Linked DNA regions of Oryctolagus cuniculus. The protein of the gene in region 4 interacts with the protein of the main gene of each other region in a biochemical or structural test. Links are inferred from orthologs where the notes say so. Each region holds a gene or a part of one and is shown on either strand. Other genes may lie near its edges. The genes, in order: NPR2, NPR1, NPR3 and NPPB.

The links.
Region 1: the proteins of NPPB (region 4) and NPR2 form a complex in vitro, tested with the Homo sapiens proteins (3 studies listed by BioGRID). The link is inferred for Oryctolagus cuniculus from reciprocal best matches to the Homo sapiens genes NPPB and NPR2.
Region 2: the proteins of NPPB (region 4) and NPR1 form a complex in vitro, tested with the Homo sapiens proteins (2 studies listed by BioGRID). The link is inferred for Oryctolagus cuniculus from reciprocal best matches to the Homo sapiens genes NPPB and NPR1.
Region 3: the proteins of NPPB (region 4) and NPR3 form a complex in vitro, tested with the Homo sapiens proteins (4 studies listed by BioGRID, with this or other methods). The link is inferred for Oryctolagus cuniculus from reciprocal best matches to the Homo sapiens genes NPPB and NPR3.

What each region holds. Positions count from the first base shown.
Region 1 is NC_091432.1:198,702,236-198,706,362, reverse strand, and holds part of NPR2 (atrial natriuretic peptide receptor 2), read right to left. Parts: intron 2,313-4,127; coding exon 2,199-2,312; intron 1,956-2,198; coding exon 1,820-1,955; intron 1,583-1,819; coding exon 1,488-1,582; intron 1,293-1,487; coding exon 1,160-1,292; intron 963-1,159; coding exon 878-962; intron 494-877; coding exon 373-493; intron 212-372; coding exon 137-211; intron 1-136. UniProt on the Homo sapiens protein: Receptor for the C-type natriuretic peptide NPPC/CNP hormone. Has guanylate cyclase activity upon binding of its ligand. May play a role in the regulation of skeletal growth.
Region 2 is NC_091438.1:44,634,424-44,638,550, forward strand, and holds part of NPR1 (atrial natriuretic peptide receptor 1), read right to left. Parts: intron 3,726-4,127; coding exon 3,651-3,725; intron 3,498-3,650; coding exon 3,420-3,497; intron 3,184-3,419; coding exon 3,079-3,183; intron 2,835-3,078; coding exon 2,763-2,834; intron 2,669-2,762; coding exon 2,512-2,668; intron 2,307-2,511; coding exon 2,151-2,306; intron 1,926-2,150; coding exon 1,757-1,925; intron 1,108-1,756; coding exon 961-1,107; intron 855-960; coding exon 731-854; intron 575-730; coding exon 506-574; intron 274-505; coding exon 99-273; intron 1-98. UniProt on the Homo sapiens protein: Receptor for the atrial natriuretic peptide NPPA/ANP and the brain natriuretic peptide NPPB/BNP which are potent vasoactive hormones playing a key role in cardiovascular homeostasis.
Region 3 is NC_091445.1:58,878,692-58,882,818, reverse strand, and holds part of NPR3 (atrial natriuretic peptide receptor 3), read right to left. Parts: intron 3,910-4,127; coding exon 3,822-3,909; intron 2,841-3,821; coding exon 2,729-2,840; 3' UTR 1-2,728. UniProt on the Homo sapiens protein: Receptor for the natriuretic peptide hormones, binding with similar affinities atrial natriuretic peptide NPPA/ANP, brain natriuretic peptide NPPB/BNP, and C-type natriuretic peptide NPPC/CNP.
Region 4 is NC_091438.1:156,600,141-156,604,189, reverse strand, and holds NPPB (natriuretic peptides B), read right to left. Parts: upstream 2,034-4,049; 5' UTR 1,946-2,033; coding exon 1,817-1,945; intron 1,574-1,816; coding exon 1,309-1,573; intron 841-1,308; coding exon 824-840; 3' UTR 606-823; downstream 1-605.

The DNA.
Region 1 (4,127 bases), on a different chromosome or scaffold from region 4:
GAGCTGTGGGAGCGTCCAGGAGCTCAGCTGGGCACAGAGCGGGGGTCATGGGGGCAGCGGTCCAGGGGCAGAGGTGGCAGATGGGGATGAGACAGGATGAAATGGTGGGGACCAGAACAAGCGGACGACTGTTCACCTTGAAGTGACCGGTGTTGGCAAAGATCTGGTATTTCCCATGGGCTGTCATGAGCGAGCCGTAACTGGATCCCCGCTGGGGCCAAGGGCAACATGGAGGCGGAAGGATGAAAGGAACATTAGATGGTGGTGGCAGTGCAGGGGCTATCATTACAGGCCAGTGTGCTGGGAGAGGTCCAGGGAGAGAAAGGACAGCAACTCAGAGGGAGGCAGACGACCGCTGAGACGAGGGCTCACCAGCGACAGCGTGAGGCGGCTGCCTGCGCCTTTGTGACAGCGCTCTGAGTTGCCGAACTGCAGCTCTTCCCAGCGGATGCGCCACAGCATGCTGGCCAGCTCCTTCTCCAGCATCAGCTTCCTGTAAGGACTGCACACCTCAGCTGACTGGCAAGCCCCGCCCTGCCACCCCCTCAGCCACCGCGCGGCTGCAAGGTGCTCCAGCTGGTAGTCGAGGGCCACACGCGCCGAAAGTGCACGCCCCAGGCCCACTTCCAAACACACGGTGCACCCGAGGAAAATCACCTTTGACCTCGGCCCCACTCTAAATGACCAGTTAGCATGACCAGTCTAGAACCCAAAGTGGAACAGACTCCCAGCCTGAAGACAACGATGGAGAAAGGCCAGGGAGGACCTGCTGCCAGGTCTGAGAGGAGGCCCTGGCCCCTCCCCCACATTCTCGGGCCCAGCTGTCCTCGGAGGCTGTGTGGCATCGTGGCCGGCCAGGGAGGGGCCCAGAACTCACCGGAAAATCAGAAAGCTGGAAACGCCAAACATGATGAAGGTGATGCCTGTGCCCAGAGCCACAATGGCCAGTGTCGAGAGAGGAGCTGAAGGGGAGAGGGAGACCCTGAGAAAGACCATGGGGGCGGCGGGCTGCCCAGTGGGGAGGGGTGAGGCTCAGGTGGGGAGGAGCAGACAGATTTCCCGAGGGAAGTGAGCAAGGAGGGAGGGCAGCAGAGTGGAGAGGCAGCAGGGGTGGAGGCGAGGGGAGGAAGTGTAGCTCCCAGGCCCTGCACACACCCACTTTTATCACAGGATGGGTCGTCCAAGTCAAAGGCACAGGGGGGGTTGTCCAGGGGGGGTGCCCCCTTCACCCAGGCAATAGGCCGTTCTGTCCACCAGATCTGCTTCTCGGCTCCCGAGTAGTGGGCTGCAGGCTGCGAGGAAGCAGAAAGCTGGGCCCATGGGCCTGCTGCCCGAGACACTGCGATTCTGCTTGTCCCCCAGCCAGGAGGGGGCTCCCCCAGAGAAGATAAGCCCCTGCCTCTAGGCCCTTTGGCTCTGCCCTCCCTGGACTCTAGAAGGCTGACTTCTGCAAGGCCACCATCCCTTCCCTGCCCCTCCCCCATCACCTGGAAGTCCCCAGAATCCAGGTCTCCCATGGCCCACAGGACGAAATCGGTCTCCCGGTCATTGTTCTTGTCCATAACAACCAAGCCAGTCACACCTAAGAGAGCAAAGAGCAGCCGTTACTTTGAGGTCTACCCTAGAACCCCTCCTCTCCCCTGGCCCCTCCAGCTGCCTCAGAGCCTGTCCCCACCCCTGCCCCTGAGATGTGCCCACCCATGCCACGTCCTCCAGCCCCTGCTGATGCCCCCTGCTGCTCCGACCTGTTCTTGTTCTGCCCACTCCGCTCCTGAGCCTGGCCCCAGCCCTCAGGGGCGCTGTCAGCCCCGTTCCTTACCGTGGTACCTCCGGCCTTGCATCTTCTCCACAATCCGCAGCCCGTCCTCCCGGGTGCCTCCTTCCTGGAGGGTCTCGTTCAGGACTTCAGCATAGAGCAGGATGCCGTCGTAGAAGCAGCCAGCGATGAGGTTCATCTGGGGGTGGTAACTCTCTCCAAACATCCTGCCAGGCCCCTGCCCGACCCCCAGCTCTGGGCTCCCTTGGACCTCTTCTCACCTCTGCTTTACTTCCCCCCGCCCACTTCCACCTCACTGGACCCCGGGCCACGAGGAAATGCCCTGGATGGGAGCCACAGCCACCGCTGGATGCTGAGCTGGGGCAGAGGAGTCCTGCTCACAGGCCGGCCTCTCTCGGGGAGAGGAGAGGGAGCTGCTTACCAGGGAAGGGGCCAGCTCCACTCCGAAATCTTCTCGGGCTCTTATCAGCAGACGATTCTGGAATTCCTGATACTCGGGATTTGGGGGTTCTCGGTACGTGATCACCAGCACAGTCTGTACCAGCAGAATACGGGGAGAAGTGAATGGGATTCCAGGTGGGCAAGACTGGAGGCAGGACAGGGGGATTTGGTGAAATGTACATGATCTATAATACACAGGGGTGAGTCTGAAGGCTGAAAGGATACTAAGCTCTGTGTGTGTGTGTGTGTGTGCAAATGTGCACGTGCGGTGTGTTCAGTACCTCTGGGGGGAGGGGGCAGCACTCCTCCAGGAAAGGCAGACAGCACTGCTTGTGGGAAGGGGGAGACCAGGCAGTAACCGCAAAAGCCCATCATCTTCCCCAACTCCCTGCCACACCCAAGGCCTCTTGGCGAGCTGCCCGTGGTCTCACAGCCCCTCTTTTCCTCTCCTTTTGGGGTATCCGTCCACTATCGGGGAAAACACGGGTCATCTGCTCCTCCCTGGTGTGTTCATTACTGTCAACATTAGCAATAACACGATGACGTCATTGTTTGGGCCACTCAGACAGAGCGCCTGCGCCCGGTGAAGGAAAGAGATTCCAGGCTCTGGGCGGTACTTGGACGCCGCGATTCCACCTGTGAGAGGCTGAGTTCACACAGTTCGCCTGCAGAGGACACTTCCCACAAGCATCACTGTCTTGCTTAAGAGACATGTGTCACTGGGACAAACTCCCAGAAGTCACATGCCACACACCACACACATTTCACAGATAAGCAAACGGCATGTGGGCTCAGGCAGGCACACATCTCCCTGGCGCATGAGTCAGCACGTCCGTCCCTCATCAAAGTGCCTGCCCGGCTCCCGTGAGCCCCGCGGGTGGCCCCTGCCTTAGCTGCAGTCTCCGCTGAGACCAGTCCCTGCTCAGACACCAAACTGGCATCATAGGGTCAGGGAGAGACTTCAGCTCACCACGACTGTGAAGGCGGTAACTTAAAATCCAGGCACTTTGGCCAGTTTTATGCACTCCTGCCATGGAAAGCACACGCGGGCTGTGAGACCGCACCTGCATCCCCTGCGCGCACCATGAGCTGTCTGGGGAGGACTGACAGGCAGCGGAAGCCAACTTCCACCTCGCACTCATCGTATCAGACTGCGGTTTTCTCTGCAGCATGTGAGCGCTTGATCACACCCTTCTAACATCCTTCCACGCTCAGGCAAAACATAAAGGGGAGGAGGACGAAGGGTGAGGTGGGCAGGGTTCAGTAGGCGACACCTGCTGCAGAAATACAAGACATTCAGAGAGGCAGCGCACCGACGATGAAAAGCACAAGAGCTGGAGAAGAGATTTAATACAACTTGTATTTCACTTAAGGCTGAGGGTGGGTTTTTTATTCTCTAGGCTGCTTTGTTCCCTAGGCTGGCAGTTATCAAACATGTTGATCTCAAGATGGCCTGACAGCCTTACATGTTACTAAGGACCCTAAGAAACTTGTGTTTATGTGGAGTAAATCTACAGGTATTGGCCATATTATAAATTAAAGCTGATACACTTTGAGAACACAAGAGCACACAGGGGTCGGCATTGTGGCACAGCAGGTTAAGCTACTGTCTGTAACACAGGTATCCCGTATGAGCACCAGTCCAAGTCCCAGCTGCTCCACTTCCAACCCAGCTTCCTGGAAAGGCACCTGGGAAAGCAGTGGAAGACAGTCCAGGGGCTTGGGCCCCTGCACCCATGTTGGAGACCTGGATGAAGGTCCTGGCTCCTGGCTCCTGGTTTCAGCCTGGCCCAGCCCTTCCCGTTGCAGCCATTGGGGAGTGACCCAGTGGATGGAAGATATCTCTCTTTCCCCTCGGCCTCTATAACTCTGCCTTTCAAATAAATAAGTAAATCTTAAAAAAGAAAAA
Region 2 (4,127 bases), about 110 Mb from region 4:
GGGTGGATGCTCCAGGAGAGGCAGGGGGTGGGATATGAGGTCCCGGATCTGCACAGCTCCAGCCCTTGCAATCCTGCCCCTAACGCCAGGGGCCTCACCTGTGTGGATGCCGATGCGCAAGCGCAGCTGCTCCTGAGGCCGGTGGCGGATGCGGAAGGAGCGCACGGCGTCCAGCAGCGCCAGCGCCATGCGGGCCACCTCGCGGGCGTGGAGCCGCCCATTCCGCACTGGGAGCCCTGACACCACCATGTAGGCATCTCCGATGGTCTCCACCTGTGCGGGCAGCAGAGCCAGCGCTCTCTTCCCTGTGCCTACGGCCACACCGCACACACCATCTGCCTGCACCGTGCTCACCCTCCAGCCTGCACTGTTTCCTGGGTCTCCCTGTGCCGCTGTCTGCCCATGTCCCGGGTCTCTTCTCCTAAGACCCCACGTTATTCTGCCTTCCTTGCACCTTCTCTGACCTTGTCTGTCTGTCCCTCCCCCTCCTCACTCACACCCTCACCTTGTACACATCGAAGTTGTCAATGACAGCATCAAAGCAAGTGTACAGGTCATTGAGCAGGGTCACCACCTGGAAGGGAAGAGACGCCGGTCGGGAGTGAGGGGACCCCCCCACTCACCCACCCACCCTGGAGGTCTGGAGGGAAAAGCAGGTGAGGAGGGGCATGGAGATGCGAAGCCAAGCCCACCGGCCTGGTTTGACGCCTGTGGCTGAGCTATGTCTTACCTGCATGGGCGTGCTCTCCGCCGACAGGGCTGTGAACCCCACAATGTCACTGAAGTAGATGGTGACGCTGTCAAAGGCCTCAGCCTGGACTGTCTCCCCGCGCTTCAACTGCTCAGCCACGGAGCTGCGGTGTGAGGGCAGGTGCGGGGTCAGGGAGCGAGGTGGGGCCCCGGGACGGGGTGCGTGCACGTGCGCACGTGGGGGGGGGGGTGTCAGACACAGGGACTCACTGCGGCAGAATCTGGTAGAGCAGCGCCTCGGCCTTGCGCTTCTCCTCCAGGTAGGCCTGGGTGCGCTCCTCCACCAGCTCCTCCAGGTTGTTGGCGTACTGTTCCATGCGCGAGAGCAGGTTGTCCAGGATGTTGCTGCTGTTCTCCCTGGGGGGCGGGGGCGGTGAGAGAGGAGCTGCACCCCCCAGAGCTCCCCCACCCAGGTTTAATGTCAGCCCACACAGCTGCAGCAGCGGTTGGCGGCAGGGGTCCCTGGGGAGGGCCAGGGTCTGGAACACAGCAGGATGCGGAGAGCAGGGGAAAGGGTAGGAAGAAAGTTCTGTTCATGTCTGAGGCCCCAGGGTCACACGTGAAGCCTCAGGACACATCAGTAGTTGGTCTTTGTTGGACTTAAGTGCATTAGTAAGAGATAGAGGCAGTGGAGAGGGATGGAGGGAGGGGCACGCAGGCAGCGGAGGGGTGTGTCTGGAACTGAGCCCCAGTGGGCACCATGGGAAGGGGAGTGCATGAGGCTGGGCTGGGAGCTGCTTCGGAGGCCCAGGAGATGTGGCCCGTTTCCTCTGCACGCCACTGCAAAGTCTGGTGGCCAGTGTGTCAGGTGGGTGGAGGAGTGGGGTTTGAGTGGCAGGGCGCTGTGGGGACAGCTGGCCATGCAGTAGGTGTGAGAGGGTTGCCAGGCTGTGGTGGGCTGCAGCGGGCTATGCAGGGGGGAGCTGTGAGTGGGCTCTTTCTGCCCGGTGGCAGGGGGTGGAGGGGAAGTGGAAGTGTGGGATGCACGGCGGCTACCAGTGGCGACCTGTTAAACTTGCGTAGTGTCAGGCGGATCTGCTGGAAGGGTGGCCGCTCCTGGGGGTCCTCGGCCCAGCACCGCTGCATGAGCTGCCCCAGCTCCTCCATGTGGCTCTGCAGGGCCAGGGAGGGCCGGAATGGGGGCTGCTCACCCCGGGTCACACGCTCGATGATCTCTGTATCGTGGGGGAGGGGGCGGCTGAGGGGTGGGGTCCGCCAAGGGTCCAGTGACAGACTGGGGGCAGCCAGCTGGGTCAGGGCAAAGGTGGAGGAGCTGGGCAGGGGACTGGGCACTGGAGGCAGTGGAAGGAAGGTCTGGGGCCGCTTCCAGGGGTCCGTCTCCCTGAGGCTGGGGTTAGTCGAGACCACGGAGGGAACAGTGGAAAGCATGGTCCTCTCACCTTTGGGGCTGAGGTCCAGACCCTCCACGTGGAAGACCCCACTCCGCAGGGCAATCTCTTGAAGGATGATCCCGAAGCTGTAGATGTCACCGGCCTGGGAGCCGCGGGCGGGGGGTGACGCCATTCGCAGCAGCTCGGGCGCTGTCCACAGCTTTTCTGTGGGTCAGAGGTCAGGAGTCACAGAGGGGCAAAGGGGAGAAACAAGAAGCACGTGGCTGGGGCTGATCTGGAGCCATGGCATGGAGAGCTGGAAGAGGCCTCCTCCTTTCCCTAGGGAACAAAGGAAGCCTGCAGTCGGGTGTGGCACGCCCAAGCCCCGCCGCCCTGCTGGGCTGTGCAGGAGTCGAGAGTCGGGGCTCACTGGCGTAGATGGTGTGTCCTTGCTCCGGCTCTGGGTCCCTGAAGCTCTCCAGCCCGTAGTCGGTGATCTTGAGCACAAAGCGCCCGTCTACCACACAGTTGGATGACTTGAGGTTCCCATGGGAGCAGATGGCCCCGTTGTGAAGGAACAGCATCCCCTGGGAGGGGCAGAGGTGTGGGCACGGGTGGGGCCGACACAGTGGCAGAGGAGCAGCCACCTGCCCGCCTCCCCCGGGGGGCCCTCGGGCCTACCTTGACAATGTCATTGGTGAGCGAGTAGCGGAACATCCAGTCCAGGGTGATGCTCTCGTTCTCGAGGATGTCCTGCTGGGCAGCGGGAGTCAGACTGTGCCCTGCAAGCCCCCTGGGAGCAGGAGGAGGGTGCAGGGGGCCTATGGTGAAAGCTGGTACGCTAGGACGCTTTGGAATTACGCCAGTGCCAGCGCCCTCCCCTACTCCTGTTTTACAACTGGGGCTGGTGGGGGTCAGAAGGAGGGAGGGGCTTGCCCCTCAGGCCCAGAGCCAGGGCTTAGGACCCAGGTTTCTTGACACCCGACATCCCTCTCACCTGCAGGCTCCCACGAGGACAGTACTCTGTGAGGATACAGATGTTGGGGGGATCGGTGCAGGCACCCACAAACCTGGTCAGGTGTTCGTTCTGCACATCCCGCATCTGCCGGGTGGGGGCAGCATCAGGGGCCTGACAGGGACCCTCACTCTGTTCATTTTCTGCAGAGCCCTCTCCCAGAATCCGCTGCCCACGCCCTTCTGAAGCGTCCACCCTGCAGGGGTCTCACATACGGCCCTTCTCCCCCGCCCCAGGATCCCCCTGAGCTCCACACTTTCAACCTCTGTGCCCCCCCAACCGGGGGGCGGTCCCCAGGCCACAGCCTCACTCCCCCACATTACATGCTTCAGTTCAAACAGGACTTTGCGTGTCAGCTCAATGCGTTTCCGGTTCACACGTTTCACGGCCACGAGGTTGCCCTGGGCCAGGAACGGAGACGGTCACTGTGCAGAGCCTGGTCCAGTGCCCCTGGAACACCAGTTGCCCACCCTGCACCCAGGACCCTCCCGCAGCCCTCCGCCAGAGCACGCCCCTGCCCCAGGCCTGAGGACCAGGTGCTTCCCTGGGCCCACCTTATAATAGGCTGTCTTGGCAAAGATTTGGAACTGGCCCTCTGTGGTTAGCAAGGATCCGTAGTTGGAGCCTCTCTGAGGAGATGGAGAGCAGAAGGGGAGGTCAGCCCGGCGCCCGGCCTGAGCTCTGGACTTCAGCTCCCCCCATAATCCTCGCTGGACCCTCTCTGCTGTGGCCTGGGAAAGCAGCAGAAGATGGCCCAAGCCCATGGGCCCCTGCACCCATGTGGGAGACCCAGAAGAAGCTCCTGGCTCCTGGCTTCGGATTGGCACAGTTGCGGCCATTGCAGTCATCTGGGGAGTGAACCAGCAGATGGAAGACCACTGTCTGTCTTTCTGTCTGTCTATGTCTCTGCCTCTCTGTAACTCTGCCTTTCAAACAAATAAATATTTTTTAAAAAGTTTTATTTTTGAGCCAGTGTGATGCTGCAGTGAGTTAAGCCACTGCTTGCAACACGGCTGGCATCCCACACAGGA
Region 3 (4,127 bases), on a different chromosome or scaffold from region 4:
TTTATCTTCAAGATCTTATTCAGGGATATAATAAGTTTATAATTATTCTTCTGGGCTGGCACTGTGGCACAGCAGGTTAACACTCTGGCCTGAAGCATCAGCAACCCATATGGGCACCAGTTCTAGTCCCAGCTGCTCCATTTCCAATCCAGCTCTCTACTATGGCCTGGGAAAGCAGTAGAAGATGGCCCAAGTCCTTGGGCCCCTGCACCCATATGGGAGACCCGGAGGAAGCTCCTGGCTCCTGGCTTCAAATTGGCAATTGCCACCAATTGGGGAATGAACCAGCAGATGGAAGACCTCTCTCTCTCTCTCTCTTTCTCTCTCTGCCTCTCCTTCTCTCTCTGTGTAACTCTGACTCTCAAGTGAAAAATAAATAAATCTTTAAAAATATATACATATAATTATTCTTCTACCTGCAGTAGAAATAAAAGATATTTTCTCTAAAACTGCTGATGGACTATTATGTAAATTCTAGAAAGACTGGACACGTTCAGAACCCAAAGACTGAAGCCAGGTAGACAGTATTCCCACCCCCCGAAAATACAAATACAGGCTCAAAATGTGTTTTTTACCAACACAAAATAATAGAAAATTATTATCTCTAGAGGATAAGAAAACATCATGAAAAATTTGAATGAGAGAAATAAGCTCTCCAATTCCTGTGACTGAGAATAGAGCACTCTTTCCATTCTCTTCTCACCTGGGGGAGTCCCAAGCTGTCAAATGTTTTGCTGTCCTGGGTCTTATTTTCAAACCCTCTTCCTCCATTAGAATTTTTTGCGCCTGTCTTTCTTGCCTTCTTTTTCCATCCTTATTTGAATCCAGCACTCTTCTCTTTCTGTCTAGCAGGACGGACTACAACATTGTTTCAGTTCCTCGCAGTTAATTCTTCTACCCTGCCTTCCCATTCTGTCATGCCTGCATCCTGCATCCCATTTTTCAAACAATGGAGAGGAAAGGTGCCTCAGGCAGATATCATCAGTTCACTGTGATGGCTGTGGACAGAGGCAGACCCCTCTGGGGAAGCAATCGCTAGCCAAGATTTAAAATATGGAGCTGTCACTCACTTTTTCCTCTTCTGTTACCAGTGTGAGTTACAACCTCCATCACCACCAAGGAAGTGCTTAAACTCCCCTCTGTCCCTGTCTTTTATAGACACTAAGATCATTTGCAAAAATACTTTTCATATGCTCAAAATGTTGCTAGGAAATAACCTAATGACATTACAGGACAGCACTCTTACCTGACACTTCCCTTTCTTTCCTTGCTGTCTGTTTTCTCCACAGCTGTAGGTGAATGTGACAACCTGAGAATAAACCTATGTGCAGAGTACTGGGTGCAAAGCAGATATCCAGGAAATCCCTACAAATCATCCCAATGCCTTACACCCACACCCAACCCACTGTCACACAGGTTATTGGTGGATGCCTGTAAAACTGCAGAGTAGACTGAGAATGAATACTCATATAGAAGGTACTTAGATTACCCCCATAAACTTTTAAAGTAAAAGAGTGTTATTAAAGGGAAAAAAATCCAAACTCATCATTGTGAATTCTGGTAAATGCCATGCATTTTTTTTTTATCAATTCCATCCTTCTGTCAAGTTCTAAGTCTTTCTTAAGTTATTCTTGAGGGAGAAGGGCTACCTCCCTTTAAAATTTTGCCTAATTATAATCTCTTTTCACTCTGGATCTTGAAACACCATTTGGTCAGAACTGGAAGGGATGCAGCCCAGCAATAGATTGCATTTTAAATGGTTCAAAATGCAAATGGTTTAAAAATGAATGTACTCCTATAGAGTTTGCAATCTACATACATCTTTAGATCTCTGTAATTAAAGCAGCAATTGGCATTTGGCTATGACCAGGAGAAGGAGGAAACAGAGAAAAAGAAAAGCATCTTTCTTTGATCATTACTGGCTTGTTATACACTTGACCCATGCTTTTAAAATATAAGTGAAATTTAATCTTCAAACTGAAAAAATAGACATAATTTCTAACATCAAAATATAAGATTAAGATAGTTAAAAATAAAAATGTTAGTGTGAAATAGGGCTTTTTTTTACACACAAAATTCAGATTTGCTTTTCTTGTATAAATCTTCCTACCTCACTAATATTTACAACTTTTCAGAGTAGCTCTTATGAGACACTGAAGGAGACAAGGAAAAAATGCTTTTCCAGATTCAAAGTCAGAACCTGATTGCAGACATTGGACACAGCAATCCTCAACCATCTCTCTGCCAGCTCTAGAGAGAGTGATGGTGTATTCCCAACCCTGGGATTTTCTCATTACATTTCCTTCTTATTGGGTGTCAAACTCTTCCCAAGAATATTCTACTTGTAAAAATGATTTTATTCTAGCTACAAAACATTTCATGTAGGAAAACCACATTTTATGTCCTTGTGTGAAATGTCCCCAAGAGCCATCAAGATATGGAGACATCAGATTTTAAAACATAAATCTAATTATATGCCCTTGAAGCAGTATGAACACTTAGCAAAGTGACATTATATTCTTATATTTGTTTGTCATGAGATGAAAGGCCGGGAGCCAGATCATGATTAATAATAGTTCCTGAGCTTCTAAAGAATGTTTAAAATGAAATGACTGCTTAAAAGAATGAATGCTTCAAGAACACCCCTTCTGTTCCACTGATGTCTTTCATCCCAGCTATCTCCTTAAGTAACCTCAGGCAGAAAGGGGAAAAAAAAATTAAGCTTCTTTTAAGCCACCGAAAAATGGGATCTGATGGAATCTTCTCGTAACTCCCGATGTTTTCCAACGTTACTTTCTTCTTGCTGGTTTCGCCTCTCAATGGTTATTCTGTATTTCTTCCTGGGTAAAGGGAAAGTGAATGCAGTAATAAAACATCTCTTGGTTACAAAATACTGGGGTTTCTCTTACAAAGAATGCCCTCAGGGGACATCTGGGTTTGGTTTGACAAATGAGAAGTGACAGAATATGAAACCCTGGTCAGAGATTAAAGTAGTGTGCCCAAGGCACTATGCCCTCTTTCAAGGGGGAAAGTCGGCATGCTTTCCAAAATGCCAGAGAACAAGACCTCCCCTTCTTCCCTGAGTGCCTTGTGGGGTTAAGTCTTGTCACTTCTGCCACAGACACACTCCCTGACTCCCAGGAAATGCCCTAGATAAAGATCAGATTAAGTACAGTGGGACCGAAGGAGTACAGCTGTTCCCACAAGGGGTCCCATCCACCCAGAGTCTAATGATCTATAAGTCACAAACTCAACCACCAAAGGTTACAAAGGAAGGGGCTGCCCTTGGAGCGTGGAACAATGGCTGCCTTGAACACACGCACCTTTTAGAATTGTGCAAGTCCTGAGGCTACCCCACAGTGAGCTAAGCTCACAGGGCTCCAAATACGAAGCCCAGATCAGCCTGGGAGCACAGACTACTCCCAGCTCCCTCCTTCCCTTTAGGAAGGTTAAGTCAAGCCTCTATTTCTGAATTGGAAACAGTCTGAGAACAAGAAAGTTGATTTTCCCCTTTGTCCAGATTCCTTCTCCATGTGTGCATTTGGTGAGTGGTAGGAATTGCTGTCGAAATATCTGTGAACTAAGGACAGCAATGGCTCTCTGGCCTTTAGGGTAAGGCACTGGAATATCGTAACTCTAATAACCAACAATGCTAACCCACTGACCACCAAATCCAGGGTCACACCAAAAGGACTGCTTAGGTCTTCTAACCACCAGGCTTCTTGGGTGTAAGAAAGATGTGGACAAGTCACAAGGGGGATCATGCCAAGACAAGTGACAAAGGCAGTCAAAGGAGAGTGAATTGTATAAACAATTCTCACCTGAAAAAGTAGAAGGCCATTAGCAACCCAGCTCCCAGTAGGGCCCCTACAACAATGCCTGTCACCGCTGATTCTTCTAGACCACCTGCTTGAAAAGAAGCATAGATAATCAGGGTTCACTTTGAGAAGGAGTTAGAAATGCCTCAAGGTTCCTTCAAGGAAGGTGTTTCTCAGTTTCCTAGTTGCTGCAAATGTTCTTTTTTCTTTCTTTTTTTTTTTTTTTTTTTTAGAAAGATATTCTAGGAGATCCTGCACTTTTATCTTTCTTATCCAAGTGCAAAGCTTAAGAAGCCTTTGAGAAAGTAT
Region 4 (4,049 bases):
GGGAGGAGACAGCCTGGGCTAAGGCCTGGGCGCCTGGACACAGGGCAGGGTTCTGCAGGACAGCTGGAGAGGAAGTGTTGGCGTGGGGGTGCACCCCGAGAACTTGAGCCTCCTGCCAGACCCCTGGGTTGGGTTTTGAGGGTCTTTTCCAGGATGACATCAGGAGTTGGAGGTCTGAAGTTGAAATTTGGGGAAGGATGGAGGCTCACCCCAACTTGGGAACGCAACACACACGAAACCCCCAGCGTCTGACTTGCTAGTTCAGGCTTCGGAAACAACTGTTGCCAGGGAAAGTCAGCGAGGGTGGGGCTAGGGTGGGCTTCCAGGCAGGGGCTCGCACCCTGGCCCAGGCCGGGGCCGTTCCACTCCCTGGGAGAAGCTGCCCTGCCCCAAGACACAGGCGCTGGCCATTGCGGCCACTTCAGAGCGTTTGACACCCCGACAGGAAAGAAAGCACTCCACGTCCCGCCACTGGCCCAGCCCTTAGGGCCGCATCCCAACCCCACCATCAAGACACCGCTGGGACCTTCAACAAACACAGGGTTTTGTTTGGTTTGTTGTTGCTAAAATGAGCAGCAGTTATAAACACACGGAAACAAATCAGCTTCGAAGAAAGGCTGTCGTGTTGATTTTATTTCTCTGCGGAAATTGTGTGCGCCATGGTTAATAAATCGTCTTTTAGAAAATGATCAAGTAAAAATTAATAAATACATAAATAAATAAATAGGAGCCGCTCCAAAGGGGTGGGGGTCGTGGACCGGGGGAGGCGTCCCTTGTGGAGTCCAGAGCGGTTATCTGCAGCCGGCGTTCTTTCTAGTGCTCTCTAGTGTTTCCTGAGCACTGCGGAGAGAAGAGAGAGGTGGTGAAGGGCCTGCGACGGGGAGACGGAGGTGGAAGCTGAGCTTGGTGTGTGAGGCTTTGGAATTTCTAGACCTCAGCTTCCTGGTCCATACACGGGGTCGGGGGGTGGCATCACCCTGGCGATCCCGCCCTTGCCCTCGAAGCTCTAGAAGGTGTAGGGAAAACCAGATTACACGTCTGGGACTCCAGTGAGCAGACTGCACCCCAAGGAGACTCTTCTGGCCCCTTGGATGAAAGGCGCAGGGGTGGATGCAGAGGGGCTGGGGACGCGGGCGGGGTGATGGGTGGGGTCCTCAATGAGTGTTTCCAGAAAGGCACCCTTCAGCAAGAGGGGGTGCGATCCAGGCGTCCCAGACAACAAACCAGAAGTGACTCTCAGGCTGACAGCCGGGGGCAGGGCTGGGCGTGCAGCTCCCCAGCCCAGACCCGACGCAGATGGGGGCTCACCATTGCAGCCCAGGCCGCTGAAGGAGCCAATCCGGTCCATCCTCCGCCCGAAGCAGCCTGAGTCCCGCATCCGCTTGGGGCCATGGAGTCTCCGCAGGGTCTGGCGGGCCTCATCCAGGGGCACAGGGCTGCCTGCAGGGGCCGCCTCTCTGGTCTCCTGGGTCTCCCAGGTTTTCGCCGTGCCTCCGTCTTGCTGGGTAGGCTCCAGGGTCGTCTGCTGTGCCTGCAGCTGGGAGACCTTGTTCCGGAGACGGCCCAGCAGCTGCTGTGGTGGGCAGAAACCAGAGGCTCGGGATCTCCCACCTGGGCTCACCCTCCCCATGGTGCCCAAGTGAATCCACCCACAGCACTGTGTCCAGGGACCTGGAGTAACTCTCTCCGCTTTCTGATTCTCCCATTGATTCCCGAGGGAGCGTGGAGACCCTAGGGACGGCAGCTGGGCACCCTTTCCTTGCTGCTGTCCAAGCCCTCCAGGGCGCTCACATCTATGCAGCCCCTCTGCACTCACCTGTATCTCAGAAAGTTCTGAGGAGGTTTTGCTGGGGCTGCCCAGCGGGTGGGGACGACACCTCTGCGGGGACAGGTGCAAGAAGAGGAGGAGCAGGAGAGCCCGGGAGAGCCCCGTCGGGAGGTCCATGTTGCTGGGGAGAGCGGCTGCTGCGGGGTGCGCGGGTTCCTGTCCCACCTCTGGGAGGCCAGCAAGTGCTCTCCTGGCTGCTCCGCGAACCGCGCGCGGCCTTTTATTCCGGAGCTGAGTGTCCAGCCGGTCCTTCCCTGGCCGAGGGGCGGGGGCGCCGTTATCTCTGATTTATCAGCCACATTCCGGCCCGCTGAGCTCAGGGCCGGGAATGCGCCCCTCCGCGCTGGCGGTGGAGGCTGGGGAGAGCAGGCCTTGTATAGAAATGGGCTGGGCCGGGGGCGGGCGCGCGGGGGCCCCTGCACGTACCCGGTTCCCGCTTCCTCCCTTCCTGCGAGAATCCGGGGCCCTCGCGTGGCGCTCTCTTCTTCTCTCTCCACCCCAGTCATCGCTGGAAAGGGCAGGGAGAAGCCCAGGACCGCCCCGGGCTGAGCCCCTTACCCCGGGAGCCGGCGGCCCGCGGGACTCCGGCTCGCAGCCGCTGGGTGCGGGGGCGCTGGCCGTGGTGCTGATCGCGCCAAGCGAGCGAGGCGCAAACTCTCAGAATCCGCCCTTCTCACCCGGGGTTTCCAAGCCCGGAAGACCTTCAGGGGACAGAGGACAAGAGACCTCCAAGACCTCCCTCGCGCTCTCACTATCCCCATCCCCCACCATGAGCCTCGTGATACTGGGATGCAATTCTTCAGCGTCAACTGACTAAAAACCTGGTTATGACAAGGAAGTTGTGGAATGCTGACCCTTCCTCCTTCTCGTAAAGGACAGAATTGATTTGGCCTGGCTGGAATTTCAAGAGCAAGTCCAGAGATGAAGTCACCAGGAATGCACTCTGGGCACCTCATCCAGGTGCCAACACCTTCCCCACGCCCAGACAATGCAGGATGGAAATAGAGGGTGATCAGAGGGTGCATGTACCCTTCCCAGTGCCCCCTTCACTGGATCACCCACAGACTAATTCCCATCTGCAGGTGGCCTAGGGCCCCTCTGTTATTAGAAATGAGAATCAGAGAAATGGCCTTGGGAAGGGACACAGCAGCATAAAGAACCTCCCCCCAACCCCCCAAGCCATGACCCCATCTGTGTTAACAAGCAGCAGCAGCAGCAACAGGCTGGTCTGGGGTAGGGCTGGCAGAGGCAGGAAAGGGACAAACTTCTCCTGAAAGCTGGCGGCTGCCGGGTGAAAGCCACTCCGAAGAATCAACCTGCTTTGCAGAGGTCACACGATTGACAAATAGTAAGTCCTGGTTTCCCAACCAGCTGTCAGGTTCCAGCCCCACAGTTCTTATAAACTGCCGTGGTGGTCAGAAGGTGTTTCTTCAAAAAGAAAGCTTTGTTGGACCCCTTGTCATCGATGAAGGCTCAGGGAGCTGGGCTGCTTTGTGGAGTGTGGGCCTGGATGTGCAGGGGAAGGAAGGTGTGGGCTAAGGTGAGCATTTTGTAGAAGAAGATGGGGGGGTCAATGAGGACTGCATGATGATGGCAGTTCTGGGCAGGTCGTGCGGGGGCTGTGGCTGTGTGTGTGTGAGTGTGTGCGTGTGCATGCCACAGGAAGTCTATCCCTAGGTGAAGTGGACATGAGGGAGGCAACAAAATACAGCCCAGGGTATAGAGCTGAGTCGGAGCCAGGGAGCGGGGCTGCTGAGGGCCTTGAGTCCATTATGCTGGATGTCATAGGGTGAAGGGTCATGGGGAGCCAGAACCCATCACCAACACCTATCAAGAGTGAATTCTGGCCGGTGCCACGGCTCACCAAGCTAATCCACCACCTGCGGCGCCAGTACTCCAGGTTCTAGTCCCGATTGGGGCACCAGATTCTGTCCCAGATGCTCCTCTTTTAGTCCAGCTCTCTGCTGCGGCCCGGGAAGGAGTGGAGGATGGCCCAAGTGCTTGGGCCCTGCACCCACATGGGGGACCTGGAGGAAGCACCTGGCTCCTGGCTTCAGATCGGCACAGCAAGCCGTCTGTGGTGGCAATTTGGGGGGTGAACCAATGGAAGGAAGACCTTTCTCTCTGTCTCTCTCTCTCACTGTTTTAACTCTGCCTGTCAAAAAAAAAAAAAAAAAAAAGAGAGTGACCTCTGCCTCTAGCCAAGCCTCACAGTGCTCTT